Saccharomyces cerevisiae S288C: one gene and its partners. The protein of the gene in region 2 purifies or fractionates together with the protein of the main gene of each other region. This does not show direct contact. Each region holds a gene or a part of one and is shown on either strand. Other genes may lie near its edges.

Evidence for each region.
Region 1: the proteins of TOH1 (region 2) and LAM6 purify together in Saccharomyces cerevisiae (affinity purification with mass spectrometry, with the first as the bait; one large-scale study listed by BioGRID). This does not show direct contact.
Region 3: the proteins of TOH1 (region 2) and NCA2 purify together in Saccharomyces cerevisiae (affinity purification with mass spectrometry, with the first as the bait; one large-scale study listed by BioGRID). This does not show direct contact.
Region 4: the proteins of TOH1 (region 2) and EXG2 purify together in Saccharomyces cerevisiae (affinity purification with mass spectrometry, with the first as the bait; one large-scale study listed by BioGRID). This does not show direct contact.

The regions. Positions count from the first base shown.
Region 1 is NC_001144.5:277,079-285,320, reverse strand, and holds LAM6 (Lam6p), read right to left. Parts: upstream 6,460-8,242; coding exon 4,378-6,459; downstream 1-4,377. Other genes in the region: FMP25 (Fmp25p), read right to left, coding at 1-1,449; 60S ribosomal protein uL16 RPL10, read right to left, coding at 1,729-2,394; BUD20 (Bud20p), read left to right, coding at 2,865-3,365; RFU1 (Rfu1p), read left to right, coding at 3,700-4,302; RGR1 (Rgr1p), read left to right, coding at 6,695-8,242.
Region 2 is NC_001142.9:97,326-104,519, forward strand, and holds TOH1 (Toh1p), read right to left. Parts: upstream 3,570-7,194; coding exon 2,379-3,569; downstream 1-2,378. Other genes in the region: CPS1 (Gly-Xaa carboxypeptidase), read left to right, coding at 412-2,142; ASG7 (Asg7p), read right to left, coding at 3,825-4,454; histone methyltransferase SET2, read right to left, coding at 4,902-7,103. UniProt on the Saccharomyces cerevisiae protein: Probable circularly permuted 1,3-beta-glucanase involved in cell wall modification through beta-1,3-glucan network alterations such as increased branching or remodeling.
Region 3 is NC_001148.4:832,560-840,688, forward strand, and holds NCA2 (Nca2p), read right to left. Parts: upstream 4,855-8,129; coding exon 3,004-4,854; downstream 1-3,003. Other genes in the region: URN1 (Urn1p), read right to left, coding at 1-899; MAY24 (May24p), read left to right, coding at 1,130-1,134, 1,269-1,686; PIN3 (Pin3p), read left to right, coding at 2,006-2,653; TPO3 (spermine transporter), read right to left, coding at 5,350-7,218. UniProt on the Saccharomyces cerevisiae protein: Involved in the mitochondrial expression of subunits 6 and 8 of the F0-F1 ATP synthase.
Region 4 is NC_001136.10:977,021-984,627, forward strand, and holds EXG2 (glucan exo-1,3-beta-glucosidase), read right to left. Parts: upstream 2,190-7,607; coding exon 501-2,189; downstream 1-500. Other genes in the region: SWM1 (Swm1p), read right to left, coding at 1-209; YDR261W-A (gag protein), read left to right, coding at 4,442-5,758.

The DNA of each region.
Region 1 (8,242 bases), on a different chromosome or scaffold from region 2:
ACATTGCGAGTTCTTGAAAGTGTTGTTGCCCAATTCACCAAAAAGTCCATTACCAAACGCGAAATAATGATGGTCTGACGTTGAGCCAGGCTTACGAATGGTCACAAACGATGTTTCATCATCACAATGAATATCCACACATTTCCAATTCGTCATCCCCGGGAAATGCGGTTTAAATGCATGCGTTACCGATCTTGGGAAAGAAACATATTCTAGATTGTACGAAATAGGTAGTGCCAATTGGCCGAACCTATTCCAGCCAAAGGCATAAATTTCACCAGTCTTATCTATTGCCAGTGTATGGTACGACCCGCAAGCTATCTTTTTAATTTCTCTTTTGCGGACAACGTCTTCTCCTTCATGCTTAAATTTGTTCAGCAGTTCAATTTCGAATAGTTGATTATTGGGAGGAAACTCATCGAATTGTGAGAATGTTGGTATACCGAATTGTCCTTTGGATACTTGAGCTTGTTTTTGATCATTTCCCGTCGCGCAGCAATAAGCCTTACCTAAATTAGATAGCAACACCAGATGATGGCTACCAGCGTCAAATTGTACTACACGTTTTTCTCCTTCCTTACCGTTGAAAATCTGATTTGTTTGTAATTTCCAATCATATCTTAGTTTTGTCTTCCATGGCAACAATTTCGACCTTCTTGATGATACTTGCGAAGCTATCAGATCCGGCGTTCTTATAGGTATGACCAATATTTCACCCTTTTTATTCAAAGCGTACAAAAAGTGACTAGAATACTTCATTGAGGTCAAATCTTGATCTGGCAATATCGTTTTTGTTTGTCCCAAATCATCCCACGATATCAAATCGCCTTTCTCGTCAATTGCAAAATTGGTGTTGAAATCGTCAGAGGGAGCTAATAGGATATCTCTGAATTTACGACCATCCAAATTAGGTACTCTAACAGGGAACAATGAGTCCTTAGAATGACACCTTCCCCATATGTATACACCAGGATGATCTATTCCAAGTTGAAAGGCAGGCACTTGAGGAATCTCCCTTAATAGATTTTTGGCCTTTTGTCTGATCAATTTTTCCAACGAATCCTGTCCACTTTGCTCTTGCGTTGCATTTATGCGACCGCCATTCATCTTGATTAACCACCAGGATTTTAATTCTGGCCAACGCAAGTAGGCCGTTCCCAACCCACCCACTACCACGAGAATGAGGATCCCTTGCCCAACAGCAGATAATTTCGCCATCCTTTCCCATTGGAGTTCAGATTCCTTTGTGATCTGATCAGGAGACTTCTCAGGCCATTGGAAATGCTCGTCTGATGGCCTTTTCTTTGCTTTATATGCGCCATGGTTAATGTTCTCTGCAAACAACTCTGCTTCATCGTATTGAGGTTGTTTGGCGTATCGCCTGATGGGACTAACCCAGTTAAGGCGAGGGAGACGTTGAGAAGTCCTCGTGAATAATCTGAATGACATTAGCGGCGCACGTCCCTGTTATCGATTGCTCCCTTTCTTGTTAGACGCATTCAACAATTCTTCGTTACTGCAGCTCAGGCTTTTTTTTTTCCTGCTGGTATACAAAAAGCAACAGTGTCCATTGACTTCAGGATATATCACTACCCAACATGCTGAACTTTAAAAAAACACATAATTATATGTATTACAATAATGTATAAATATATTTACTGTTTAATAAACTAGAATTTAAATCAAAAAAATTTCTCTTTTAAGTTAGTTCAAATGTTTGAAAAGAACTTAAGCTTGAGCAGCAAAGTATTCTGGGAATTCTCTGATGTTGTTTTCCAAAGAACCCTTCTTGGACAAGAACTTAACGAAAGCACCGTCGTCCTTGACTTCACCAGCTTCTCTCTTCTTCAAGTATTCTGGTCTGTCCAAGTTGGTGAAACCCCACTTCTTAGACAAAATAATCTTTTGTTGACCTGGGAACTTGTATCTGGCTCTTCTCAAACCTTCAACGACAACATCCTTGTTGCTGTCCTTGGTTCTGACAGAGAAGATAATTTGACCAATGTCGACACGAGCGGCCAAACCGTGTGGCTTACCCCAAGCACCTCTCATACCTTGTTGCAATCTATCCGCACCGGCACAAGACAACATCTTGTTGATTCTCAAGACATGGAAAGGATGGACTCTGACTCTTAAGTGGAAAGCATCTCTACCGGAGACAGTAGTCATGTACTTGTTGGCACAGATACGAGCAGCTTCCAAAGCTTCAGAAGACAATTGTTCCAATTCGTTGGAAACCAAATGGACACACAATGGGAATTCATCGACGGTAGCCTTCTTCTTACCCAAATCGTAGATTCTGATCTTGGAGTCTGGAACAGCTCTGTTGTATCTAGACTTTGGGTAAGGCTTGTTCTTTTGGTATCTGTAACATCTAGCTGGTCTTCTAGCCATCTTGAATTAGTTATTTGATATACTGTACTTTAAAGTTTGAAAGTCCCACTCCAAAAGCACTTGCGGAAAGGATGTATAAATGGTTGCTCCACATCAACATCTTTTTATAAACTATTCTCTAGAGAAACCAAACTGACCATCAATTCTGAGATGAAAAGTTTCCTTAGTCAGCATTATTGTGCTAACTAGTTTCGGAGGGAAAAATATCGAAAAAAAAAAACCAAAAAAAAAAATAAAAAAAATGTACGGAGGGAAAAGATGTACAGGTGTAAAAAAGCACCCCACGGAAATAACCGCTACTATAATTTCATTTCTTTTTTTTCTATATCCTGCGGAAAATTTTTTTATACTGACAGGGGAAAAAGCAAATTAATTTTGCTTTTATATATGGAAAGTAGCGGGAGATGAGATGAGGTGAATTGAAAGGCAGTTAAACACACAGACAAGTGAAGATAAAACAATAGCGCATCATGGGTAGATATTCGGTGAAGAGATACAAGACTAAAAGAAGAACACGAGACTTGGACCTGATCTATAACGATTTGTCCACCAAGGAATCAGTACAGAAGCTTCTGAACCAGCCATTGGATGAAACCAAACCGGGCCTTGGTCAGCACTATTGCATACACTGTGCCAAATACATGGAGACTGCTATAGCGTTAAAAACGCATTTAAAGGGCAAAGTGCACAAAAGAAGAGTCAAGGAGTTGAGGGGTGTCCCTTACACACAAGAAGTCTCTGATGCTGCTGCGGGCTACAATTTGAACAAGTTCTTGAACCGTGTACAGGAGATCACGCAATCGGTGGGTCCGGAGAAGGAAAGTAATGAGGCCTTGCTGAAGGAGCATTTGGACAGTACCTTGGCAAACGTCAAAACAACAGAACCTACTCTACCGTGGGCGGCTGCTGATGCCGAGGCGAATACCGCTGCCGTAACAGAGGCAGAGTCTACTGCCTCAGCCAGTACTTAACAGTAAAGTAAAGATCAGAACCAAAAATAGGCATATACACTTTTTATAGTATAACACACTTCCAGTCAACTCGAATCGCTTTTGCCGCGAAACGCAATGAAAAAAAGTACGCAACAAAGAGAAATAATGAAAAAAAAAAGAAAAAATTTTTTCATTGCTAGGCGATGAGCATCGACAGTTTTATACGTAAATCAATGGTTAGATAGATAATATTAATAACATACAAGACAATTTTTGCTTCGATTAAAGTGTTGGCACGAATTATTGTTGCGGTTCACCAACCACTATACATTTTTTCTCTTCCTTCCGCATCTTTATCTGGCCCCGGTAGGTCATGAAGTCTAGTAAGCAATTGGTTCAGGACGCTAAGGATTATCGCTTCAATCCGGCGATACCATTGAGAATTTACCTGAAAACATGCATCGGCATATTGGAAAAGGCACAGTGTGCGTTCCAGGCCAACGACTTGTCGCTGTCGTTTATTTATTATTTTAGATATGTGGATTTATTGACTAACAAACTATCTAGACACCCTGAGCTTTTGCGCATGGATGCGTCGTCGTCATCGTCGTCATCGTATATTCATAAAAGAGAATACCTGCAACTCATAAAGTTGGAAGTGCCTGCGGTCTGCAAAATTATTGAAAGCTTACGCACCCAAATTGATTCTCAATACAGCAAATTGCAAACATCACTCGCTAATAATATAGCCAAGCCGAACATAAACGCAAACACAACTCCCGTGCAGGTGGAGCAACAACCACTGCCGAAGAAATCTTTCGACGAGTATAGCTTCAACCAATCAATTTCTTTTTTCCAGAAAATTTCAAACGCACAACTTAATACCGGAGCAAGCTCTCAGAGTCAGGCCACTGCCCGTGATGAAGCCTACAGACTGAATTATCCGGAGCTACCACGCCTTACATTCTCCACATAGCATCCTTTTTTTTTTTTTTTTTCCATACCATACGAACATACATAACCTTACATACAATATTACATGATTACTCTGTTACAACACGTCTCCCCTTCTTGGTCTTGACCATTGTACTTTGGCTGGTATGTCCAATAGAGTCGCGTGCGCTACAACTTCGTCCTTGTGGGTCATGAGGTTCGTCAGCTTATCCATCTTCTTGTTCAACTTCATTAAATACAGCAGATTTAACACCAAGAGCACCAAGATTATTATGTTCACCCAGTTAAACCTCCATCTGTCGCTGCCTATTTCTGAGATTTCCGCCTCAGCTTCTGGTTTCGACTCCGGCTGTACCATCGTCAGCTCCGGTGCTGCCACTTTCCTAGGTGATCCAAAAGATGTAACACTGGGCAACGGCTTGAGTGTATCTGCTTTTTCTTTGCTCAATTCCACGTATTTCTCTACAAATTCTTCGACTAACTTTACCAAGTCCTTAGTGGCGCTAATTTGTCCATTTTTACAATTGCTCTCTACCATTGGCTTGATCCAACTGGATGCGTTCCAGTCCACCCAAAAACTTATTTTTAATATGCAACCTTGCCCCTGGTCATCCCATCGGAACATGTACCTCGTTCTGGTGCTGAAACTGGTACCACTAGGAACATTTGGTGTTCTTGTTATACTTAAAACATTTATGTACCTTTCCCAGTCGCAGTGTAAAAGAATTTCCGCTACCTCACAGTTTGTGGATTTGGGCCCCACAGGGAAATGCAGCTGTTTGGTGTATTGGAATTCTCTGTAATGTTGTCCATCTTTATTGACTTTTTCAAAAGTCCCTATGTGTGAGATGTTGGACGAATCTTGAGTTTTCAAAAAGCTTAACTCAAAAACTGGATTATCTTCATTGAACATCATAATGAAAAGTAGGCCGGGTGGAACGCTGAATTGACGTTCCAGAAGCACGTATTCATTATTAGCCTCAGGTTTATAAGGAAAGTCCATGGTTTCTTGTACATGGAATGGCCCCTCATATTGAAATGGTGCGTTTGGCTTTAACCTATATACGGGCCTACAATAATAAGTTGTTGAAGAGCCTAAAGACGATGACGACGATGACGACGAAGATGAAGAAGATGGCGATGCTCTTGGTGTGCCCATGTAATCGTCCACGGACCTTATGGCCTCCTCGATGAGCATGTCGTTCTCGCTCATGTAGGAAGCCCTGCTTGTTGGTTCAGTAGTGGTTGTCGATATGAAATCGTTATATGCATTGGTAGAAACATTGTTGAATATGGAAGAAGGGGTCGATGATATTCCCTTTTTCTTGGAGACCCTCTCATCAACCTCCAAAACGTCATTGATATTGGTTAAGTTTTCCTTTGACCAAACTCTTGTAATCAATTGGAAAACCTCGTCTCTCGCTATGAATCCGGAAAAAGTGTACCTGTTAGTCACGGTTTCCACCGAAATAGCACTTGAATTTGTGGTGACCTTATCTAAATATTTAATTTCATTCAAGGGAATCTGTAACTTTGCCATCCAGTTCAACACGGTTGAGTTGAAACATAAATGTGTGTTGGAGAGATAGATTCTGCCCTGATAGGGGAATTCTCTGTGGAAGTAGCAGAAGTAGTCCGTAATAAGTCTCGTATTAGGAGCTAATGGCTTGAACATTTGGCGGAATTTTTTATTAGCCTCCTCGGATGCAAACTGGACCTCAATATTTTTGACTTCATTAGTAACCGTATCTTGTGAATTTGATTTTAGGGAAAACGTGCTCAGTACGGTGTCAAAAAATGATGATCTCGACGAACAGTTAGAAATAGACGGCCTCTTGGCATCTCCATCAACCCCATCACTGTCCCCATTCGTCGAAGTGGCCATGATAATATTATTTACAGACGTCAAAGCTGTCTCGCCACCGCCACGATGATTGTCCAAGATAGAATTAACATCAGACAAGTGCGGGTCTGCCGGCGACGATTTCAACCCATTCAATGGCACTGAACCATCCCTACCGGGCGAAATCAACATATGTTCGGTAGAAGACTTCTGAAAGCTCTTACCCTTAATAAATTTTCTGGCACCATCCATGCCACCTTCTTCCACCACCGGCTTCACTGCATTCAACTCATTATCCATAGCGTCACCAAGCTCGCGCATACTATCCCCCCACATTCTACAATTCAACGTACCATGCTCTCTTCATTGCGTTCAATTATTCTCTCTAGATGCCACTAAATTTAATTACTTTGTCCCGCTTATTGTTAACTAAACGATTGTCCCATCGCACGGTCGCTGGTTCAAGTAAAAACGGTGAATTTTTCAATTGTTTAGTAGAGGTCTGTTGTAAAGATCATCAGAAAAAGAGTTAAAAAGTGGCAGGAAAGTATAGGGTTTTCTTGGCTGGGCAATGACTACCACGATAGGATCCCCACAAATGCTGGCTAATGAGGAGAGACTTTCTAACGAGATGCACGCACTGAAGAACCGGTCCGAGCAGAATGGGCAAGAGCAACAGGGTCCCGTTAAGAACACTCAACTGCATGGCCCTTCTGCAACCGACCCGGAAACTACGGCCACCCAAAAAGAATCTCTAGAAATGGTACCGAAAGATACAAGTGCAGCGACTATGACAAGTGCGCCTCCGCCAGCGTTGCCGCATGTTGAGATTAATCAAGTCAGTCTGGCATTAGTAATAAGGAACTTGACGGTATTTACAATGAAGGAACTTGCTCAGTACATGAAAACTAATGTTCACACCCAGGCAAATGAGCCTAACTCCGCAAAGAAAATACGTTTCTTACAGCTGATTATATTCCTAAGGACACAATTTTTGAAACTTTACGTGCTTGTGAAATGGACCCGTACTATAAAACAAAACAACTTTCACGTACTAATCGATCTGTTGAACTGGTTTAGAACGACTAACATGAATGTCAACAATTGTATTTGGGCTTTGAAAAGCAGTCTAAACTCTATGACCAATGCTAAATTGCCCAACGTGGATTTGGTCACCGCTTTGGAAGTTTTGAGTCTTGGGAGGCCAAATCTACCTACACACAACTTTAAATTAAGCGGTGTCAGTAACTCTATGGATATGGTAGATGGAATGGCCAAAGTTCCCATTGGATTGATTTTACAGAGATTAAAAGATTTGAACTTGACTGTCTCAATAAAAATTGCATTAATGAACATTCCTAAACCATTAAACAGCTATCATATCAAAAACGGTAGAATCTACTTTACTGTCCCTAATGAATTTGAAATCCAGTTATCGACTGTTAATAGACAGTCCCCTCTGTTTTTTGTGGATTTAAAATTGTTGTTTAACACGGAAGCTGAACAAACTGTTTCAGCAGTTACAGAAGCTACTTCGACTAACGGCGATAGTGAGAACAATGAAGAAAACTCAAGTTCCAACGGAAATAACCTTCCTTTGAATAAGCCAAGATTAGAGAAGTTGATCAATGAAATTCTTTTGAAAAGTAATGATCCATTATTATCCCTATACAATTTTCTGCACAAATACGTGTTGACATTACAGCTATACATGGTTCATAGAGAGTTTTTAAAGCTGGCCAACGGCGGTAAATTTTCCAAAAGTAATTTGATCCATAACTATGACTCTAAAAAAAGTACAATTACAGTTAGATATTGGCTGAATGGGAAAATGGACAGTAAGGGTAAGATCACTATTGGCATTCAAAGAACAACAGAAAGTCTTATCTTAAAATGGGACAACCAGAGTGCATCAAGGGCCAAAAATATGCCTGTAATTTATAACAATATTGTATCTAATATCGAAGGGATTTTGGATGAAATTATGTTCAATCATGCTAGAATCATCAGATCGGAGCTGTTGGCAAGGGATATATTCCAAGAAGACGAAGAAAATTCGGATGTTCTATTATTTCAACTCCCTACCACATGTGTTTCCATGGCGCCTATTCAATTAAAA
Region 2 (7,194 bases):
TCTGATTTCCCATACGGATTTTGAAAATCAGCTACGAATAGATAGTCTTTTTCTATTTTCAGTAAATGTGTCATTGAAAAAAGTTTCTTTAGAACGACGCTTTTTGCAGGCTACTAGAAACACCCACTTCTAGTAGCTTTACGTGACGAATTGAACCGCGTGATCTTGTGCACTGTTATCCTAAATGCTCAATGCTCAGAACATCTTCTTGTTATCTCAGCCTCGCCACCCTTATCTTATCATAGCGGCCTTTTATTTTCCCCTTTGGGCAAAATACGATACAGCCTTCCAAGGTCGGGCAAGAAAGTTTATGACATATAAAAGAAACGGGTACCCCAAATACGTCTCTTCCCATTGTAAAACTAATCCTGCATCATCACATTAAGGAATCATTCATCTAACAATTACATTATGATCGCCTTACCAGTAGAGAAGGCCCCTAGAAAGTCCCTATGGCAAAGGCACAGAGCCTTTATTAGTGGAATAGTTGCCCTTATTATCATCGGCACCTTCTTCCTCACTTCGGGTCTCCACCCAGCACCACCTCATGAGGCAAAGCGTCCACACCATGGAAAAGGTCCCATGCACTCACCCAAATGTGAGAAGATTGAACCATTAAGTCCATCATTCAAACATTCCGTCGACACAATTCTTCATGACCCTGCCTTTAGAAACAGCTCCATTGAGAAACTGTCCAATGCTGTTAGAATCCCCACTGTAGTCCAAGACAAAAACCCCAACCCCGCAGATGATCCGGATTTCTATAAGCATTTTTATGAACTACACGACTATTTTGAGAAGACTTTCCCTAATATTCACAAGCATTTGAAATTGGAGAAAGTCAATGAGCTGGGTCTTCTATACACATGGGAAGGTTCTGATCCTGATCTAAAACCATTATTGTTAATGGCCCATCAAGATGTTGTACCTGTAAACAACGAAACTTTATCATCCTGGAAGTTCCCTCCATTTTCTGGTCACTATGATCCAGAAACAGATTTTGTTTGGGGGCGTGGTTCTAACGATTGTAAGAACTTGTTAATTGCCGAGTTTGAAGCTATCGAACAACTGTTGATAGATGGATTCAAGCCCAACAGAACTATTGTTATGTCGCTTGGTTTTGATGAAGAAGCAAGCGGCACCCTCGGTGCTGCCAGCTTAGCCTCATTTCTTCACGAAAGATATGGTGATGATGGTATTTACAGTATCATTGACGAGGGTGAAGGTATCATGGAAGTCGACAAGGATGTCTTTGTTGCCACTCCAATCAACGCTGAAAAAGGCTATGTCGACTTCGAAGTCAGTATTCTAGGCCATGGTGGTCATTCCTCTGTCCCACCTGATCATACCACAATCGGTATCGCTTCAGAACTGATTACTGAATTTGAAGCCAACCCATTTGACTACGAATTTGAGTTTGACAATCCAATCTATGGATTGTTGACATGTGCTGCTGAACATTCTAAATCTTTAAGTAAGGATGTGAAGAAGACAATTTTGGGCGCACCATTCTGTCCTAGAAGGAAGGACAAGCTTGTTGAGTACATTTCCAACCAATCACATTTGCGCAGCTTAATAAGAACAACACAAGCTGTTGATATCATCAATGGTGGTGTTAAAGCTAATGCTCTGCCCGAAACTACCAGATTCTTGATCAATCACAGAATTAATTTACATTCTTCTGTGGCTGAAGTCTTTGAAAGAAACATAGAATATGCGAAAAAGATTGCTGAGAAGTATGGCTATGGTTTATCTAAGAACGGTGACGATTACATTATCCCTGAAACCGAGTTAGGTCACATTGACATTACTCTCTTGAGAGAATTGGAACCAGCACCACTTTCGCCAAGTTCAGGCCCTGTTTGGGACATTTTGGCAGGTACTATTCAAGATGTTTTTGAAAACGGTGTTCTACAAAACAACGAAGAGTTCTATGTGACTACTGGTTTATTCTCTGGTAACACCGATACTAAATACTACTGGAATTTGTCCAAGAACATTTATAGGTTTGTTGGCTCTATCATTGATATTGATTTACTGAAGACATTGCATTCGGTTAATGAACACGTGGATGTCCCAGGTCATTTATCTGCCATTGCCTTTGTTTACGAGTATATCGTTAATGTTAACGAATACGCTTAAGCGCAATGATTGAATAGTCAAAGATTTTTTTTTTTTAATTTTTTTTTTTTAATTTTTTTTTTTTTTCATAGAACTTTTTATTTAAATAAATCACGTCTATATATGTATCAGTATAACGTAAAAAAAAAAACACCGTCAGTTAAACAAAACATAAATAAAAAAAAAAAGAAGTGTCAAATCAAGTGTCAAATCAAAATTTAAATGATGATGATAATATGACCATACAATGACTTAAATCAAATCAAAACCACTTGCGTAAAGGCAGTGAATATGGCCAAAATATAATACCATACACCGTTTTGCATCTTCGTTAAAGCAACACCATTCGACTTCGAGGTGGTCGAAGGCGCAGTAGCAGAAATGCTCATCAATTGAGAAGAATAGGTTTCGTTTTCTGGAATTGCAGCCAATAAATCGTTAACAGTATCAGCAGAAACAGTTCCATTGAATGGAGTGGCATCAGATATGAAAGAAACGACATTTCCACTAGAATCGAAAACAACACCACCTTTCATCGTTCCAGTAGTATTTCTTGTTATGTATCCGTAAGATTGGATACCAGTACCCAAATCCTCGATACCTTGGAAAGTGTGGAAAGTAGAATAGAGATGGTTTTTCTCCGTACCATTCATAGCTTCAAAAATATCGTATTCCCCACATCCACTAGCCCAACATGAACAGTTGGCATTGGTTGGATATTGAGAAGTCCTTGCAATGTGATCGTTTAGCAACCAAATAGCAGGCAAGTCATAGTACCCAATAGAGCTGCTATTTTTCTCAGTTTCAGTAGGCATTTCGAATTCAAACAAAAACATCTTTGTTGTACCTCCGTACCCATAGTAAGCTGGAATGCCACTACGGTAAACCCCACAACCCTTATCATAACCTGATTTTGGACATGAGACATTCGAATAGATTATGTATTCTTGATCTGAAGAAATCAAAGTGCCATCTGCCAAAACGGTAGCTTCACTGGCGCTGCCAGTACCGTTAGAACTAGCGTAGGACAAAGCATTTCCTAAACAAGGGGAAGCTTCACCTCCATGATTTAGAAAGGTAACGTTATCAGCGGTTTTGGAACTGGACTCATAGTAGGCAAGACGGTTCCAATCAGAAGAACTTCTGCTGTTGTTGACGGTAAATCCAGGGGATGTGTAAAAAGCAAATTGTTTCAACTTCAATGGTCCACGGAAATGAACGGATAAATAGTCTGCTAGTGGAGCGTTCTTACCACTAAACCATACTCTGTCACCCACTTCGCAAGTACACGATTCATTGTTGGTGATATCTTTAAACTTATTCACATCTACGTAGGAGCCTGTAAAACCAACATTAGTGAAATCCAACTTTTGGTACGACTGAGGTCCACTGGCAGCGACTGTGTGCAACATAAACATGCACACGGAAAGGACTATACTCTGTAACATTTGTCTTATTTAAGCTTGTAATGTTTGCACTTGAGTATGTTCTATTATGGCTGCTTCCTTCGATAAGGATTGTTTCTCGAGGATTTTCAGGTTTATAAATAACCTAAGCTCGGCAAAATAGACAAAAGAAAAGGGCGGAGCCAAGACTTTGAAAAAAAAAAATGGAAAAAGGAACCCTTGCAGATACAGCAAAAATGGGAAATGGAGGCTGTGGAAAAGAAAGAGGCTGATATCATTTTCTGTCTTTAGATCTACCTAACGGCTTTTCTTACATAGGAGAACTACAAATATTATGAGTATAGAATCGATGAGGAGGCCAAGCAAAGACCGTAAATTCCAGTCGCGGAAGGTCTTACGTAATAAATCGTGCGACTCCAGCACATCGTGGGCTACCTTCTTCAAAAACGCGTAACGATATTTTTTCAAGGTGTCATTCTCGTCCTCGACTTGTTCCGTGTTCACGTTTAGGAAAGACGACGGCATACCGTCTTTGCTCTCGTAATATTCTTCGCTGTTGCTATCACTGAAATTCTGCATGACGCGAATCTCTTGGAGGACTTCTTCCTTTATGGGTATCACCGTTCTTTTAGTTATGGCTTCATATTCATAAAATCCTGGGTATTCGTCTTCTTGCAAGTCGTGGAATTCCAATTCATGTGGTTGCCAATACTGTAAGAACCACCAGGCTAAAAGATTCACCAACCAGAAAACGGGGCACAAGATTCCAAAAACAAAAAACCTTGGCAGCCAAGGTTGGACAGGCACACTCATTTTACATGATTTGCATTGGCAACAGTATTTTTTCATCCAAGGGTTCTCATCGTTCTCGAAGGGCGCGGCTAGATGTTTTGTTTTATGCTCAATACTTGATGCTAAAGTAGTCATGTTTCTTGTCGTCATTCTTTGAATTTTTGTAGTCCTATGTACAAGCACAATATAAATGACAGACTAGTCAACGACGCTGACCCTTTATATGTTCCCCGTATATTCCTTGTTTTCATTGCAGTTAACATGTAAATTTCCCGATGCGGTAATTACGTTTCAAAGTCATTTCAACACTTCTATTGACAGCAAAAAAATAAAGACACTTGAAACGCACGATTTTTTCAAGAATAATATCTGTCGAGAAGATGTGTCACATTACCTATCATTACAGTGCTACTGATAGCCCACTAATGCGGATATTTAAATATATGCACCAAAAATGTATAAAGAAATAAACGGTAAAGACAAAAAAAATTACTTATTACAAATCGCAATTACAATTAAAGTACAAGACTTCCTTTGGGACAGAAAACGTGAAACAAGCCCCAAATATGCATGTCTGGTTAATTATGATGATGTTGAAGGTGGAGGAGAAGACATCCTTGTTGATGCTGATGATAATGCCAACGCCTTTTTTTGCTTCTTCTTGAGGATAATCTTATCCATGTATGAATTTATGAATTCTTTAACTTTATGCCTTTTTCCTTTGGTTAAGTCATCAGGCGGCGCTCTTGAAGAATCTTTTTTAAGTTCCTTTGTAGTTAGGATTTTCACGATGTCTTTAGCACATTGTTTAATGTTTTCATGATCAAATTGTTTACTTTGTGGGTTTTTTTTTATTAAGTTGGGTACAAAAGATGCAAAGAATTTATTCCAGTTGTGCTCTAGTCTTTGGGACTGGGAGACCGTTTTTCTTTTCAACCGCTTAGCCTCTTTTGCTTCCACTAGTTTTTTGGCCTCTTCCTTTTGTAACTCCTTCTGTTTGTTGGCCTCCGCTATAATATCCTCCAAAACGCTTTTTCTTTCATTCTCAAGCTTTAGCTTTTGCTTCAGGCTTTCCAATTCTTCTTGTTTGGCTCTTTCTAGCGCAATTCTTTCGTATTCCAGTCTTTTTTGTTTCTTCCTCTCATATTCTTCGTCACTCAGCTTATGTTTCTTAGAGTCTAAAGCGCCAGGCGTTTTTGGTATTCCACTGCTACTCGGAGAATTTACTTGTGTATTTGACCTTGAACTAAAGACCTTAGATGATCCCGAAGGTGGATAGTGTAGTTTCGTTTTCTGTTCTGCATTATAATACAATGGGCGACCGTTTTCGTGAATGATCTCCCAGCCTGGAGGTAATCTCACCCTTCTCAAATCTATCATTTTGCTGGCTGCGACGTTTATGTCTTTCTTCGTTATCCTTTTATATGTTTCAAATTTCGACCATTTCTCCAATAACTCATCGCAGTTTGGCTTTAAAAATGGAAACTTTGCAGGGAGAGTTTTTACTACATTATCAATTTGTGACGACTCAATACCGTTTCGAGTTGTCTTTGGTAATTCCAACAAAAAATCTAAAATTCCCTTTATAAACTTTATATCATCTTCTTCAGTCTCGTTTCCTTTTCCATCTACCTGAGGTTGTTCCGTGATAAACAATTTAAGCATTTTGCTAAAACAGGTGTAACCGTGTAGTTTGATAGCCTGATGACGAAGAGAGTCATCATCGATAGTAAAAAGTCTCTTCAAGAGTTTGGATGCAATTATCTTATTATCTTGCTGTAGTAATACACTCATGATCTTCGTCACATCCACTGGGCTGTCGATAGGTTGGACTTCCAATGATTGAAGAAATTCAATATTTATGTTCTCGTTTTCATTCTTTATTATTGGCTCACCGCTTAATTTCTTTAACTTTAGCCATTTTTTCTCCATGGAAACAGTCACTCCCAAGGCATCAGCGATGTTCTGGGGCAATAAAGATGCCGCATCTGTTTGAGTCTTACCACCGAGAAACCCAATACAATTTGGCTCCTCACAGTAGCATTTCTGAGCTTGAGCACCATAACGATCCACATTATAATCAAAAGTGATTTCCTCACCTTTTAAAATTTTTCTTTGAGCAAATATTCCCATGCGTAGCTTATCCTTAACAACCCATTTATTAACATATGCATTGGGGCTGCAAGAGTGATTGCAAAATCTGGCCAACGAACCCTTTATTGTGGCGTCAATGAATTCTCCGTTCTGTAACATCATAAAATAAAAATGCTTGAAATGACGTTGGTCATAGTCTATTAACCTATCTCTAAATTCCATCTCCTCGATCACCTCACCTTTGTACTCGTAAATGAACTGGTTGGCTTCTATGTCCTGTTCGGCTCTTACGCCATAACCTTTATGCTTTGTTTTAAATATGGCTATCGGAGCGTACTGCTTCTTTTGAAATCTCTGATTTTGACAATCATTACCACAAGATGAACACAAATCGTTGACACATTCTATCAACGTAAGTCTATTGATACAGTCAGAATCCTCGTCACAGGCATGGTTGACGCCATCTGAGAATTCTTCATAACAGTCACATTCCATGAAATCATTATTCTTAAATGTTCCGATCCTCTTGTTCGCATATATACAGTCATCCAAGTTTTCAAATTTGGTCAATGCTTCCTCTGTGAGATCAGGCTCTTGATCAAAAAGCCTTTGAGGTTTATGGCCCTCAGCGTTGTTATTCAGTATTTCTTTTTCATCTTCCGACGCACTCACACTTTGGTTCTTCGACATGATCACGTAAAACAACAACCAGGAAAGGAGAAAGGTTTGACAGCACGACTATGCAGTTTTCTATCACACGTTCGAAAGCCCCTTTGAAAAG
Region 3 (8,129 bases), on a different chromosome or scaffold from region 2:
ATTTGTGCCAGATAATGGTATTTTGTTGGTTCTAGTACTTCGCTATCGTCTTCGCTATTATCTTCGCTATCGCTTTCTTCAGCGGTGGCATTGCCACTGCGCTCGCCGCACCATTCTTCGAAAAGACTTTCACGAACTGTGTCATCTCTGATCTTGTAAAAATCAGGATCGTTTTCGATTTTCTTGCTTTGCAGCGACCACGTGGAAAACTTGTCTAGTTTATACCTATCGAATAATTCGAAGAAGATATTACGCTCGTCAATGTCATCTGTATCAATACGATTCAGATCATCGATAATGCTGATATCTTGATTTACAATTTGTTCTTCATTCTCTTCGTCTTCCTCTTCGTCTTCCTCTTCGTCTTCCTCCCCCGAAGATGAACCATACCCGCTGACTAGCCCAGTGTGGCTTTCCTGTAAAGGGGATTTTACGTCACCCGCCTCTTCGCTGATCTCATCTTTTCTCTCAACTTCGTCTTGATTTCTTTTAAATAGATGAATCTCTTCGTTGCAAGATTCGAGGATTTTATCAATGTCCTCCTCCCGCATAGTGTAACCTCTGGCAACGCCAATCAGAAGAACCAGTTTTTCCTTATCTAACGACTCGATTAATGAGCGACACCTGCTGTCGTCCTCTTGACTGATGTCATTTTTGAACTCCTTAGAGTCATCATTAAAGTAAAGTTTTGTACCATCGTTGTATATTATTAAGTGCCAACCATTAACCAGTTCTAATGAAAATGTTGGCTTCCTCTCTGTCTGTGATTCTTTCGCATTGCTTTCTAGGTTAGAGCCTTTCTTCAAATTAGGTTTTTCCCATCGAGACTGCTTCGTGTTCTTATTATAGTAATACTTTTTGCCTGCAGGTGTCTTAAATTCCTGCCATTCTCCACGCATGGCGATTCTGTGTTACTGAACTGTCTTTCTCTTTATAATACATATCAGAATCTCTTTCGGACACTATTTCCTCTTTCTTCAATTATATTGTTTTCTCTTTCATTGCCGAAGAAAAAAAGAAACATACTGAAAGTTGATAAATATGCAATAATAAAACCTTTTCCTACTCTTGACGCTTCTGTATAAGATAAAAACTGCCAACAAGATCAGTTCCAACTTCCTGCCGTATTATGAGGTATGTTATTCATTACCAAGACTATATCCGCCACGGCTGGATGCAGGCATCGCTCCCTGTGGCTTAAGAAAATAATAGGCACAAAACTAACAATAAAAACATCCACTACTCTGTCGCATGTTCCCTGTGCTCAGATCATTCGTAACAAATAACGATATACCTGTTGGATATGTAACGCCAAAATTCCCCTCATTATACTGGCCCATCAACAACTCGAAGTATAATACTGCATTCTTATACTATATATCTGACATTTGGAAATTTTCGCTGTACTGGACTTTGATCTTTAATGGTGCATTTTACGTTACTGCTGGTGTGTATGCTAGCTTGACCCATAGAAAGAAGGCTGGAAGTGTATGGATATTCGTCATGTACGTCTTATACGGAGGCGTTCAAGGCTTGACGACTGGTACAGTTATGGGGTTTTTAATAGGTGCGATCTATAGATCTGGTTTATTTTCTATGTCTACATGGGTCCCACTTTGTTGCGCAGTAGTCCAAATCCTTTTCGATGTGGTGCTAAGTTATTCCATGGTTGGTTCCGTTATGTGAAAGCTTCTGTCAAGAAAAAACAAGAAGGGGTTTACTGATTTGATGATAAAAGTTAGCAGCAACTTTTGAATGAGAATGTGCCATCCTTCACGTAAAGAGCCTAATACTCTTTCTTCAAAGCGCTAGATTGTTCTAAACGTTTCTTTAACTATTGTTTTCGTTCGTGCAGCGTGATTAACCGAGCCTCCTTCGAGGCGGGGATGGATATTGTAAGCTGCATATATAGTCGAACCTCAAATCGGTTGAGACAATAGGCAAAGTGCCCACATTGGCGCAAACACAAGAACATTAGGAAAGAAGGCAATCTGATATTTCAAAAATGTCTGCTTCATTGATTAATCGTTCCTTAACAAACATTAGGACAGAACTGGATTTTCTAAAAGGGTCAAATGTCATTTCAAATGACGTTTACGATCAAATAAATAAGAGCTTGCCGGCAAAATGGGATCCTGCCAATGCACCCCGCAACGCCAGTCCAGCTTCCTTGGAATATGTCGAAGCTCTTTATCAATTTGATCCTCAACAAGATGGTGATTTGGGCTTAAAACCAGGTGACAAGGTCCAACTTTTAGAAAAATTATCTCCAGAGTGGTACAAGGGTAGCTGTAATGGCCGTACCGGTATTTTCCCAGCAAACTATGTCAAGCCAGCTTTCTCTGGGTCTAACGGTCCATCCAATCTTCCACCACCTCCACAGTATAAAGCTCAAGAATTACAACAAATCCCCACGCAAAATAGTGCCGCATCATCTTATCAACAGCAGCCATTTCCTCCACCTTCCACAAATTATTATCAGCAGCCTCAACAACAGCCGCAACAAGCTCCTCCTCCCCAACAACAACAACAACAACAACAACATCAGAGCTCACATAGCCACTTGAAGAGCTTTGGTAGCAAATTGGGTAATGCCGCCATTTTTGGGGCAGGCGCTAGTATTGGGTCAGATATTGTTAATAATATCTTTTAAGTCGTTTTTCTCTTTATATACTTCATTCATTTGTTCTCCATTATGGCCAAACCTTTCATAAATTGAACGAAGTTCTACCTTTGGTGTTGTTATCCCTAGAATTTTTTTCTAATGAGTATGAATTTAAGTAACCTTTTTTTTTCTTTTTTTTTAAACAGATATATCGTATATGGAGGATAATAGTACATCACTTATGATATGAGCGAGAAAATCTGTCTTTTTAGTAAAAAAGTATAAAAAGTAAAAAGGCGTCGATTTTGCGTTGATTTCTTTATATTTACGTCTGTACAAAAAATACATTAAGAATATATTCAATATCTTCCCTTTCTTCTTCCCCAGCAGGCTATACGCTAATGGATTAAAAACCTGCCATATACGTGGTATATCCTGTTGACGACATTTATATGAGCTCCGGAGTCAAGATTGGTATCCACCAGTTCCTCAACGTCCCTAAACCATTCTTTCTTTCTTGAACGCGGGATCAAAAAACTTCCCAATTTGTATAAGTTAGAAACCTCAATCACTAGTAGACCCTGGTTTAAGTGTTCCTCATCGGCGTCCGCACCTTGTTTAGAATAATTCAAAACTCTTTCCACATTATTCAAACTTATACTTATTTGCTCCCTATACCGTTTTTCATTAGACCAGACATTGCCTAGTTTGACAAATCTTTTTAACGCCACTATAGAAGAATATAGTATCACTAAAGCCGGAGATAATGCTACAACTCCAAACACCAACTGTTGCGATTTCAGCATTTTATCAATGCCATTCAATGCCATAGATCCATCGACTTTTGTTTTTTGCAGTTGAATCAATAAAGACCTGACTAATCCACCCGTAGCTATATTCTTTATCGGATGATGTAGTTGTGTTTCATATATTTCCATAAATTCGGTCAAATCACCATGTTCGACTTTAGTACTCAATAGAATAGGGTCTATGGGGCTGTTAGACGTCGAATCACTATTATCCACAACAAAACTAACAATCATTCTGGTAAGAGAATCCATGTCAGAGTTTAATGTCTCCTGTGATGTCACTGAAATGGCGCTTCCCTCGTCATGCTTAACAGTAGACCAAACCTGTTTCAGGGGTGCCCATAACCAGTTCAAGATCAGCCCTTTCGCAAAGTCAACGACATTGGTCTTAATGAAATCTTGAATAAAATACCGGGAATTCCACAACGACATAACAGAAGATGGTCCATATAAAAGACACAACAAAATTGAAGGCCAGTATCTAGTCAATATACTTGGTTTAGTGAACCTTCTTAAAGGATGATCTTTATGAAATTTCGCTGAGCATCGGATCACATCTAGTAAATTCGAATCAGACATGGCTAATCCAAAGAAGTCCTGTAAAGATTTTAGACGTCTTTCGTAGTTCGGTAAATGTACTTCGGTGAACATACCATTTTCTTCTGGTTGTTGATCGAATTCAGTGATCAACTGCCCCAGTTTAATAGTATAATACTTTGATGATTGAGTGACCATATCAAGTCTTTCGTGCACTATACCGCGAGGTATATCAGAAACCAATGAAGCTATTTCAATTGGTTTCTTCGGTAGCCCGACAAACCTGAAGTTCCGAATCACCATAAATTTGTTTATTCTTGGGCGTATTTTTTCTAGTAAATCAACTGACAAGGCCTTTAGGGACCATTTTTGATGCGACAGTTTTTTCTTATTTACATCCTTCAAAACAGTTTGAGATAAAAGACGTATTGTCGATACTGAATTTTGTAAACAGTAAAGAAAAGACTTTAGGATTGAATCACTTACTGTTTTGTAGTACTGTTCAGCTTCATACACGGCAGGTAAACCTTGGACGCATTCGTTGGTCACAGAATAGTAGCACAATAATATAATGTACTCAAATATGGCTTGGCTAACAAGATATTGCAAATCTCCGTCTTCAAAGGATGAGGGATCAGCAATGTCCTTGCAAATATTGTATAGCAAATCAAAAGGCACCGAACAATAAGAGTCAATATTGTCAGTTTTGATTGAAATGCAGATTTTTTCAACAATTGACCTGATCAATTGTAATTGATCTTGTAACCTACTTAGTTCTTCATTTTCCTCACGTACGTCTTGAATCAATTGTTGCTGTGAATCAAATGCAACCTCTCGTAGTGATTCCTCTAATGAATGACTTATCTCTTCAAAAGATTTCAAAATACGCCTATTGATGATCATTTAAGAATATTAATTAAGGAACCTGCAATTTTGCAATAGGACTATTTTGTTGACTTTGTTGTTATTACTAAGTTTTAAAGTGGAAAAGAATTCCGACCCTTTGTTTAGTGAGTGGGGGTCAATCAAATTCGTATTCCTCGGTCAAATGAGGAGGAATGTAAAAACCGAAAATAAAGTCATCGCATAGGTACAAGAAGAATGAACTTGAGAAGTTCAAATTTCTAATTCAATTTTTTTTTTTTTCTATACATATAAATTAATAAAGTTACTCACGGTTTGAAGGTCAATCAATATATTTGTTTAGGATAGCAATAGATAAAAGAACAATAGAGAAAGAATGTAAAATACGTAAAAATATATGTACATTACTGTCGGATAATGGTTTGAATGCATGTTTGATATGTTTGCTTATGTTTGCTTATGTTTGCTTATGTTTTTATCATTACTACTACTATAATTTTTCATTATTATGCTCGATTCGTAAAATCGTTACTCTTATTCAATACTATCTATGGAATAATCCTTCTTGGATAACTTATGTCTCAAACCTTTGCCCCAGTAAGAAAATGCAAAAGGTAAAGCAATCATAGCAGTGGAGATGAAAGCCAACAACCAAGAACCCCAGTGCAGATTCAATTTGTGGTACATTTGAATGGTAAACAAGGGGAAGGCAGCACCACCGGCGGATCTTAAGAAAACCTTTGTAGCCAGAGCACTGGATGCGTATTGGACGTAGCAATCAATAATGTAATTATTCAATGAATAATAAATCAACACCATACCGAAACCAAAAGCTAAACCAGCTGAAGCTGGACCAACCCAAATAATATGTTTATAAGCGGTAGCACCCAGGATCCATAAAGCAATTGCAGCAAATGGAGCACCGATCTTAGCACCTAGCAAACGATCTTCAGGAGTAGGTTTACGCTGTTTGACAATTTGTAAATACTTGTTTTCACAGTAGAAAGTTGTGGCTAACGCCCAAAGAGCACCGATAACAATAGGAATAAACATCAAACCCACAAGGTTGTCTTTGTAGCCATATAGTTCACCGAAAATGACAGGGAAGGCAAAGAAGAACGCATATAGTAGAGAGTAAATCAAACACACGTAGAAACAAGTAGCAACTAGAACAGGTTCAGTGACAGAGAAGTACAAAGGTCTCAACAGACAAGCCCTCATCATTTCACCCATACTGACACCTTGCGCTTCCTGCTCAGTCATAATCTTGGGATTACCAGTTTCCTTTCTTAATCTAGCAGCCTTTCTCTTCAAGATAACTGGAGCGTACGTTTCTGGGATGGCAGAAGATATGATCCACATAACACCTGCAAAGGCCATATTGACCCAGAAAATCAGGTCCATACGTCCGGTAGAAACGGAAATAAAACCGTTAACTAGTGGACCAACAACGGGACCAACGTAAGGAGCAAAAGCGAAGAAAGCAATAGCCTTACCTCTTGTTTCACTTGGGAACATATCGGCAATAGACCCACCAACTAAACACAAACCAGATGATGACCAAACACCACATAAAAATCTACAAGCTAAAAGACTACCTAGATTTGGAGCTAAGGCGCAAGGGATATTGAAGATGACATAAAGACCCATAGAAACAAAGTAAGCAACTCTTCTACCGTAAAGATCACTAACAGGAGACCAAATCAAAGGACCCAGCGAGAACCCAATAACCATTAAAGAAACCGATAAAATAGCGGCTTCCATACCTACATGGTATTTCTTTTCAACGGTTCCCAACCCACCACTGATACAAGCAGACCCGTAGGCGACACAAATAACTAAGATTGACAGTAGGACAGTGTAACTCCAACGGATCCATGCAGGCCAGTTATGGGGGTTTTCTGGATCGCCAGTCACAAAGGTAACGAATTCAATTTCCGGATCTAGATCTGGAGCTTCGTCATTCGCACCACTAGAGTCGCCTTCTTTACCCTTTTCGTTATTATCACTTTCTAAAGCATCTTCATTAGAAGAAGGCGAAGAAGCGCCATCGATCTGTCTAGTTCTCGTACGGGAAATCGCAGTAGAAGTTCTACCTATGGAATGTAGAGTGGCGACAGGAACTAAACCTGTAGGGGTTTCTAAAGTATATTCTTCAGGAAAAATCTTATTCTTGCTAGATTGAGGAGCATTAACATCAGGAACGGGGGCTTTGGAGCTCACACCCATGTCCTGCAATGACTTCACGGTTTCCGTCCGGGTCAACTTCAGTTGATTAGGAGCCATGTTGGATTTAGATCCACTCTCTGAAGGGATATATTGTTGCGGCTGCTGACTTTCTACATCAGACAACGAAGATGTTTCGTCTGAATTAAACGAATTTATGGATTCCTGTCTGTTCATTTCTGTTTATCTTTGGCTAGAGGAGTACTAATGCAAAATTAAAATAATGAAGTAAGAAGGGAGAAAGTAATTAGTTATATTAGAAAACTAGACCACGAAATTTGTAGTATAATTATGGGTATGACAATTAAAGAATTAGGGTGAACGCTACCGGTGAGGACAAAAAAGGCTGAACGAAGAAGAAAAATAAAAAGAAGATTAGATCAACGCACCTAGACGAAAAAGAGCAAATACTGCTTATTGTATTCACTTTGGAGAACAGGTTGTAACAGGACAGCTGACAATTGCTAAGTTAAGTAGATTACAAAGACAAATGTTCTTAGGCGAAAAGAATATATAAACTAAAAGAAAAAGTGGAAAAAGGGTACGTGTAAAAAGAGACTAGGATGGTTGAGCAGCGAATGATTGCAAGATATATAAAAGAAACGAGCCAGTTTTACAGCGTTTAACGCAGATCCAGAATATGAACAAAATGCATTAGGAAATAAATGAAAAAAATGGCTCTATGGATCAGGGATCATCATGGCTGCCGGAAACTACGCCGTTCTGTTTTGTTTTTGTTTTTCCTTTTTCCCGTTTGGGTGAAATCAGTGAGCTGTTCCGATCCGTTGGGCGAAGACATTGCCGCAGTGACGAAGCCCGGCTAGTCCGATTGGGCTCCAGTAAACCCCTCGCCAAGCACAGAGAAGCTAGTCAGAGGCCCGCTAGACTGTACTTACTGGTCTTTAGCACACGACGACCGTACTTTGCACGTGGCTGCAGACACATTTTGTATGGAGGGAATGCTTGATTATATAAAGAGCTCTGTTTTTATGTTACCCGTCCAACGTTCTCACCCGGCTCCGCGCTATTTTTTTTTTTTTTTTTTTTTTTTTTCAGACCCACACAAAATCCGCGTAGCCGAGATTGCT
Region 4 (7,607 bases), on a different chromosome or scaffold from region 2:
TCGCGTACATTAGAATTCCTTTCCCCATCTTGGGGAGCTCTTCCCTCCTCCGCGTCGGTGCGAGTATTATCTTTCATAGCCATTGTAATATTTGCCACTTCGTCCGGAAGCGCCAGTATATCTTGATTCCATTCCGCATATAATATGTGATGTGGTGCTGGTAAATGGCGGTATTGAAAATATGAATCCCTATAAGAACTTGAACTCATAATCGTGGTTGTTATACTTTGCTCACCCCACTTCTCTGATATTATTCTCCCTTCTCTCACGATACAGCTAGGCCACGGCACAAATATGATGTAGTACTAAGATTTTTTTTTTTGAGGTTGCAATTCAGATTGTTGTCTTTTTCTACGACATGCATAGAAGTATATCATATGATATTTCGAACTTTGGGTGCTTTTCTACATAGTGCCTACGTTCTGAGTATCTATAATAATATAATGAAAAGTGTATATATAATTAGCACCATTAAACGCACCACACTGTTGCCGTTTACTTTAAAGAGAAGCGCAAAGAGCGGCAATGGTGATAGCGAGTGCGCATACGCTCGCTTTCCAGGTCAAACTCATATTTTTGATTGGTAATAGCTGCGAAGTTGTTAGTTTATTAGAAATTGCAGCATTCTTACTCTTCCTGGAAGTCGTAGTGGAGGACAAAACCGATGACGTTGTTCTTGGAAATGCCTGTGCTGATAAAGAGGATGAGAATTTTTCTTCGATAGATCCATCTGCTTTGAAGTACGTGTAGTTGTCGAAAGGGGAAGGGAAAAGGTTAGCTTCTTTTAGCTTCAAATAATCCCATTCTACGGCGTCTTCGGTCTTCCAATTCCAAAAAATCCATCCCGTTGTTTTTGACGAATAAGTGGCTAGCTGTGCCTCAATGAATTGTCTCACACGGTCACGGTAATCTTGCGTCCAATCAGCTAAGCTATTTTGGGATATACATGTTCCAACTGGCTTGTCGTTGGTGGTAAACAACGTTGTATTGTAGTATGATCCATCGTAACGTGCACCCACCCCAACACCATTTAGCCAGGTTGCACAATCAGTAATAGCGCCTGACCATTCTCCGACTACTGCTGGGTGAAAAGAAAGTTCTTTGTGGATAGAGTCCCCATAATTGATAATGTTTTCAATACGTGCAAACTGAGTTTCGGCCAATTGCGCATCAGTAAACACTTCATAATGATGATGGTCGACCAATATATCTTGAGAGCTGTAATTTGCACCAGTCAAATTGAAATAATGATGCGATACATTCTGGTAGGTTGGGTTTAGCTCCAAGTTCCAGTGACCGATTCCTTGAAAACCGTCATGAATAACAAACGTAGTGTTGTCACTCGAATTCTGATTTTTCTTGAGCAAGTCAAATGCTTCGTAATACATCTCCGTTATGTCTGAAACATCGATTTTGCCACCAAGCGGTTCGTTGACGATTTGAATACCCACCACAGGACTTTTGTCACCTTTATTTAAAAATGTCTGGAACATATCTCTCCAAATAGCCAGAGTCAGTTCTTTAGTATTATTCAACCTTAACCAGCCTAAATCGCCATAGAGTATTCTTTCACCGGAATTATCGAATCCATTCTGGGATCCAGGAGCACCATGTAGATCTAACCATACATTTAGTTCGTACTTTTGCGCCCATTCGAGAGCATTATTTAAATATTTCAGTTGTAATCCATCACTTACGTATGGATCATTGAAAGTTATGTTATCGATGTACAAGTTTTTATCAGTATTTTGTTTCCACGCCCAATATCCGATGGGGATCCTAACTAAATTGAAACCGTTGGTTTTGATTTGTTCAAAATCATCCTCTGTAATCCAAGTTTTGAAGTGATTATCCAATAAAGTTAGAGAGGTGTTATATCCTAAGGTTTTACAAAGAGTAAATTCGTCGACAATGGAGATATTGCTGGAAGAGTTTTGCTGTTTTGCCAGTGACGTAGCATTACGATATAATGATGGCGTGATATAAGGTTCTGTTACTAGCCAGCCGCCAATAGTAATACCTTTCACGGTGATAGTGTCGTTTGCATAGTAGGAGGCGAATTTGTTTTGTAAAATATTTAGTTCCAAAGGCGATAACGATTCTTCCTTCTCTGTGGTGCCAACGCCTTGCGTGAATTTAGACAGGCATAAAACTAGAAATGCTGAAAAAAAAAACGACTTCAAAGGCATATTAGGACGTCCCAAGTAACGAACGGTCTACAATTGACTATTCTATAGAACGCGCTAAAATCTCAGCCAAGGAAAAGAGTTTTCAAATTTATATAGGCGACGACGTATTCTCGAGAATTTGCGTTTTTCATTGTATTGTTTATTTTCTTCTTTTTTCGCGGGACTTATTTCTTGAACTCTGTCCGTAAATAGAATTAAAGGGACACATTTTTGCAGCGTCCCTGACCTTGTGATGTTTCAAAATAAACGCACACATTATTTTTAAATGGCAATTTCACGTAGTTTTAGTGGTTTGAAAATAATGATAAAATTTGGGCATTAATTGTGCAGATTATCAGTCAAAAAGTGAATCGAAATGTATCCCAATACAATTTCATGTGCATATTTCACTACTACGAAGTGAATATTGTAAAAATCACGTTATGACATAACTGCTTTTAGTAAATCTATAAATTAAATGATTAATAGACATGTACCCGAGGATAATAGGATTGGCGAAACTGGATATTTGTTTGTAGTATCACAGGTTAACATTATCGTTTTAGGACCTTTTTCACTTTGTCTGGTGATCTTGGGGAATCTCTATATCTTGAGATACTTGATTTAATTAGGCCTCCATAACCAGATTATGCATATTCGATTGGCAATGAATAACTTATAACTGAACGAGTTGTATCATTATCGATATCGTTATATATGGTATATCCAGGACTGACAGTCAACATATCACTTGACACTACCTTAAAATATTCAGGATTTACTAGGTATAATAGACAACAGACTAGTTAACGACAAATACTGAACATAGAGACGTACAAAATATGATACTTGTGTTCCTGCCACAGCAAAGTTGATGTACTTAGTTGACTGTATATAATTTTTTTCTTTCAACCTCTGCTTTATCTAACATTATTTGGCATTTTTTTATTTCTATCTAGTTAGATTTTAACTATAATCTGCTTATTCAGTATACAGTGTATTCTCTATTTTATTTTTTTGTTATTTTTACATGTTTTCAATTTAGTCTACTAAGATTATATGTTACAATTCAGGTACTCCGTCAAATAGCCCCCTTAAAATACTGCTTATGTGCACCTGGCATGAAGATTGGTATGATATGCATATGATATGTTCTATTTCTAGGTTTATTGACTCTATGTTTTCTTTCTAAAAAATCTTGAACATGGTCGCGACAGCTACTTTGACAATCATTGATAATCAGCCGTGCGTCAGAACTGAAGGTCTGCTAAATGAGCAGAAGAAGCCAGAGCGTAAAGTTTTCTGTACGAATAAAGAGGGGGGAAAGCCGTATTTTTTATTGAACGACTGCAGAACGGAGGATTATGACTGTTGTTATGAAAATAGCTAATATACAATATATGTGAAACTCCTTCGCAAGTATAATAACTCACATAGTCTTTGCTCTTCGCCATCAGTTACAAAGTGCGCTGCAACTTCCGAAATGCGATAAGTCGTGATGCGGTTACCTCGATATCGAAACCTTCTGTTTGTCCGTAAAATATCGTGTAACACTAAAGCATACTTTTTCTCATCGATTTATGGCTCATCGACCAACCGAATTCTTTGATAGTTAATGTATGCTGCAGGCAGAAGGGCAGCCGTAGGTATAAAAAAGACTAGAGTTCACGATCCAAGCACTATTTGCCATTTTTGTGCCCTTTCAAATTATTCTTTTTTATCGCATTGTCATTCTGGTACTATTAAAGTAAAATTAAAAAGATTGAGGAAAATTTTTGGTAAAAACGACAACTGCAGGACTCGAACCTGCGCGGGCAAAGCCCAAAAGATTTCTAATCTTTCGCCTTAACCACTCGGCCAAGTTGCCTCAATTTACAAGTAATTTGAATATTATTAGATAGTATGATGCAGTATTATGACACACATCTAAACGTTAATAAAACACACATGCAACTTGTTGGAATAAAAATCCACTATCGTCTTGTTGGAATAAAAATCAACTATCATCTACTAACTAGTATTTACGTTACTAGTATATTATCATATACGGTGTTAGAAGATGACGCAAATGATGAGAAATAGTCATCTAAATTAGTGGAAGCTGAAACGCAAGGATTGATAATGTAATAGGATCAATGAATATTAACATATAAAATGATGATAATAATATTTATAGAATTGTATAGAATTGCAGATTCCCTTTTATGGATTCCTAAATCCTCGAGGAGAACTTCTAGTATATCTACATACCTAATATTATAGCCTTAATCACAATGGAATCCCAACAATTACATCAAAATCCACATTCTCTACATGGTAGCGCCGCTGCTTCGGTTACTTCTAAGGAAGTCCCATCAAATCAAGATCCGTTAGCCGTTTCAGCTTCCAATTTACCGGAATTTGATAGAGATTCCACTAAGGTTAATTCTCAACAAGAGACAACACCTGGGACATCAGCTGTTCCAGAGAACCATCATCATGTCTCTCCTCAACCTGCTTCAGTACCACCTCCACAGAATGGACAGTACCAACAGCACGGCATGATGACCCCAAACAAAGCTATGGCCTCTAACTGGGCACATTACCAACAACCATCTATGATGACGTGTTCACATTATCAAACGTCACCTGCGTATTATCAACCGGACCCACACTATCCGCTGCCACAGTATATCCCACCGCTGAGTACTTCCTCACCTGATCCAATCGATTCACAGAATCAACACTCTGAAGTACCTCAAGCTAAGACAAAGGTGAGAAATAACGTCTTACCACCACACACTTTAACATCAGAAGAAAACTTTTCTACATGGGTTAAATTTTACATCAGATTTTTGAAGAACTCTAATCTCGGTGACATAATTCCAAATGACCAGGGTGAAATCAAAAGACAAATGACTTATGAAGAACATGCGTATATATACAATACCTTCCAAGCATTTGCCCCATTTCATTTATTGCCAACATGGGTAAAACAAATTTTAGAAATTAATTATGCTGACATCCTTACAGTCCTTTGTAAAAGTGTGTCCAAAATGCAAACTAACAATCAAGAATTAAAGGATTGGATAGCTCTTGCCAACCTTGAGTACGACGGAAGTACATCTGCTGATACATTTGAAATTACAGTCAGTACGATCATTCAGAGGCTAAAAGAAAACAATATCAATGTTAGCGACAGATTGGCCTGTCAACTAATACTTAAAGGTCTATCCGGTGATTTCAAATACCTACGTAATCAATATCGTACCAAAACGAACATGAAACTTTCCCAATTATTCGCTGAAATTCAATTAATATATGACGAAAATAAAATCATGAATCTAAATAAACCGTCCCAATACAAACAACACAGCGAATACAAAAATGTTTCTCGCACATCTCCAAACACGACTAACACGAAGGTTACAAGTCGTAATTATCATAGAACAAATAGTTCAAAACCAAGAGCAGCAAAAGCTCACAATATTGCTACATCCAGTAAATTCTCAAGGGTGAACAATGATCACATTAATGAATCAACCGTTTCATCACAATACTTAAGCGATGACAACGAACTTAGTCTTAGGCCAGCAACAGAAAGAATCTAAGCCAACACGCACAATAGACTCGAATGACGAACTACCTGATCACCTTCTTATTGATTCAGGAGCTTCGCAAACGCTTGTCAGATCAGCCCATTATTTACACCATGCAACACCCAATTCTGAAATAAACATAGTCGATGCTCAAAAACAAGACATTCCTATAAATGCCATTGGTAATCTTCACTTCAACTTTCAGAACGGCACCAAAACATCAATAAAAGCACTACACACACCAAACATAGCCTATGATCTATTAAGTTTGAGTGAGCTGGCTAACCAAAATATTACTGCCTGCTTTACCAGAAACACTTTAGAAAGATCGGATGGTACAGTACTAGCTCCCATAGTCAAACATGGAGACTTTTACTGGTTATCTAAAAAATACCTAATTCCTTCGCACATTTCAAAGCTAACAATAAACAACGTCAACAAAAGCAAAAGCGTAAATAAATATCCATATCCGTTAATACATCGAATGCTTGGACATGCTAACTTCCGAAGTATTCAGAAGTCTCTTAAGAAGAATGCAGTTACATATTTGAAAGAATCGGATATTGAATGGTCTAACGCTAGCACATATCAATGTCCTGACTGTCTAATCGGCAAAAGCACGAAACATAGGCATATCAAAGGATCACGACTAAAGTACCAAGAATCATATGAGCCTTTTCAGTACTTGCATACCGATATATTTGGTCCTGTACATCACTTACCGAAAAGTGCACCTTCTTACTTTATATCGTTTACAGATGAGAAAACCAGATTCCAATGGGTCTACCCATTACACGACCGTCGTGAAGAATCTATCCTCAATGTTTTTACATCGATATTAGCATTTATTAAGAACCAATTCAATGCTCGCGTTCTAGTTATCCAGATGGATCGTGGCTCCGAGTACACTAACAAAACTCTTCATAAGTTCTTTACGAACAGAGGTATTACTGCATGCTATACAACCACGGCAGATTCTAGAGCACACGGTGTCGCTGAACGATTAAATCGTACTTTATTAAACGATTGTCGCACACTGCTTCATTGCAGTGGTCTACCAAATCATCTATGGTTCTCAGCAGTCGAATTTTCTACTATAATCAGAAATTCATTAGTCTCACCAAAAAACGATAAATCTGCAAGACAACATGCAGGTTTAGCTGGACTGGACATTACTACTATACTACCTTTCGGTCAACCGGTTATAGTTAACAACCATAATCCCGACTCGAAAATACATCCTCGTGGCATTCCAGGTTACGCCTTACATCCGTCACGAAACTCTTATGGCTATATTATCTATCTTCCATCATTAAAAAAGACAGTAGATACTACCAATTACGTTATATTACAAGACAACCAATCCAAATTGGACCAATTCAATTATGATACACTCACCTTTGATGATGATCTCAATCGTTTAACAGCCCATAACCAATCTTTTATTGAACAAAATGAAACGGAGCAGTCATATGATCAAAATACAGAATCTGATCATGACTATCAATCGGAGATTGAAATAAACTCTGATCCTCTAGTGAACGATTTCTCGTCCCAATCATTGAACCCTTTACAATTAGACAAGGAACCAGTCCAAAAGGTACGTGCACCAAAAGAAGTTGATGCCGACATATCTGAATACAATATTCTTCCATCTACTATACGATCTCGTACACCCCATATCATTAATAAAGAGAGTACCGAAATGGGTGGTACCATTGAATCAGATACTACTTCACCTAGACACTCGTCTACCTTCACTGCACGAAACCAAAAGCGACCTGGTAGTCCCAACGATATGATTGATTTGACCTCACAGGATAGAGTTAATTATGGACTTGAAAACATCAAAACTACACGT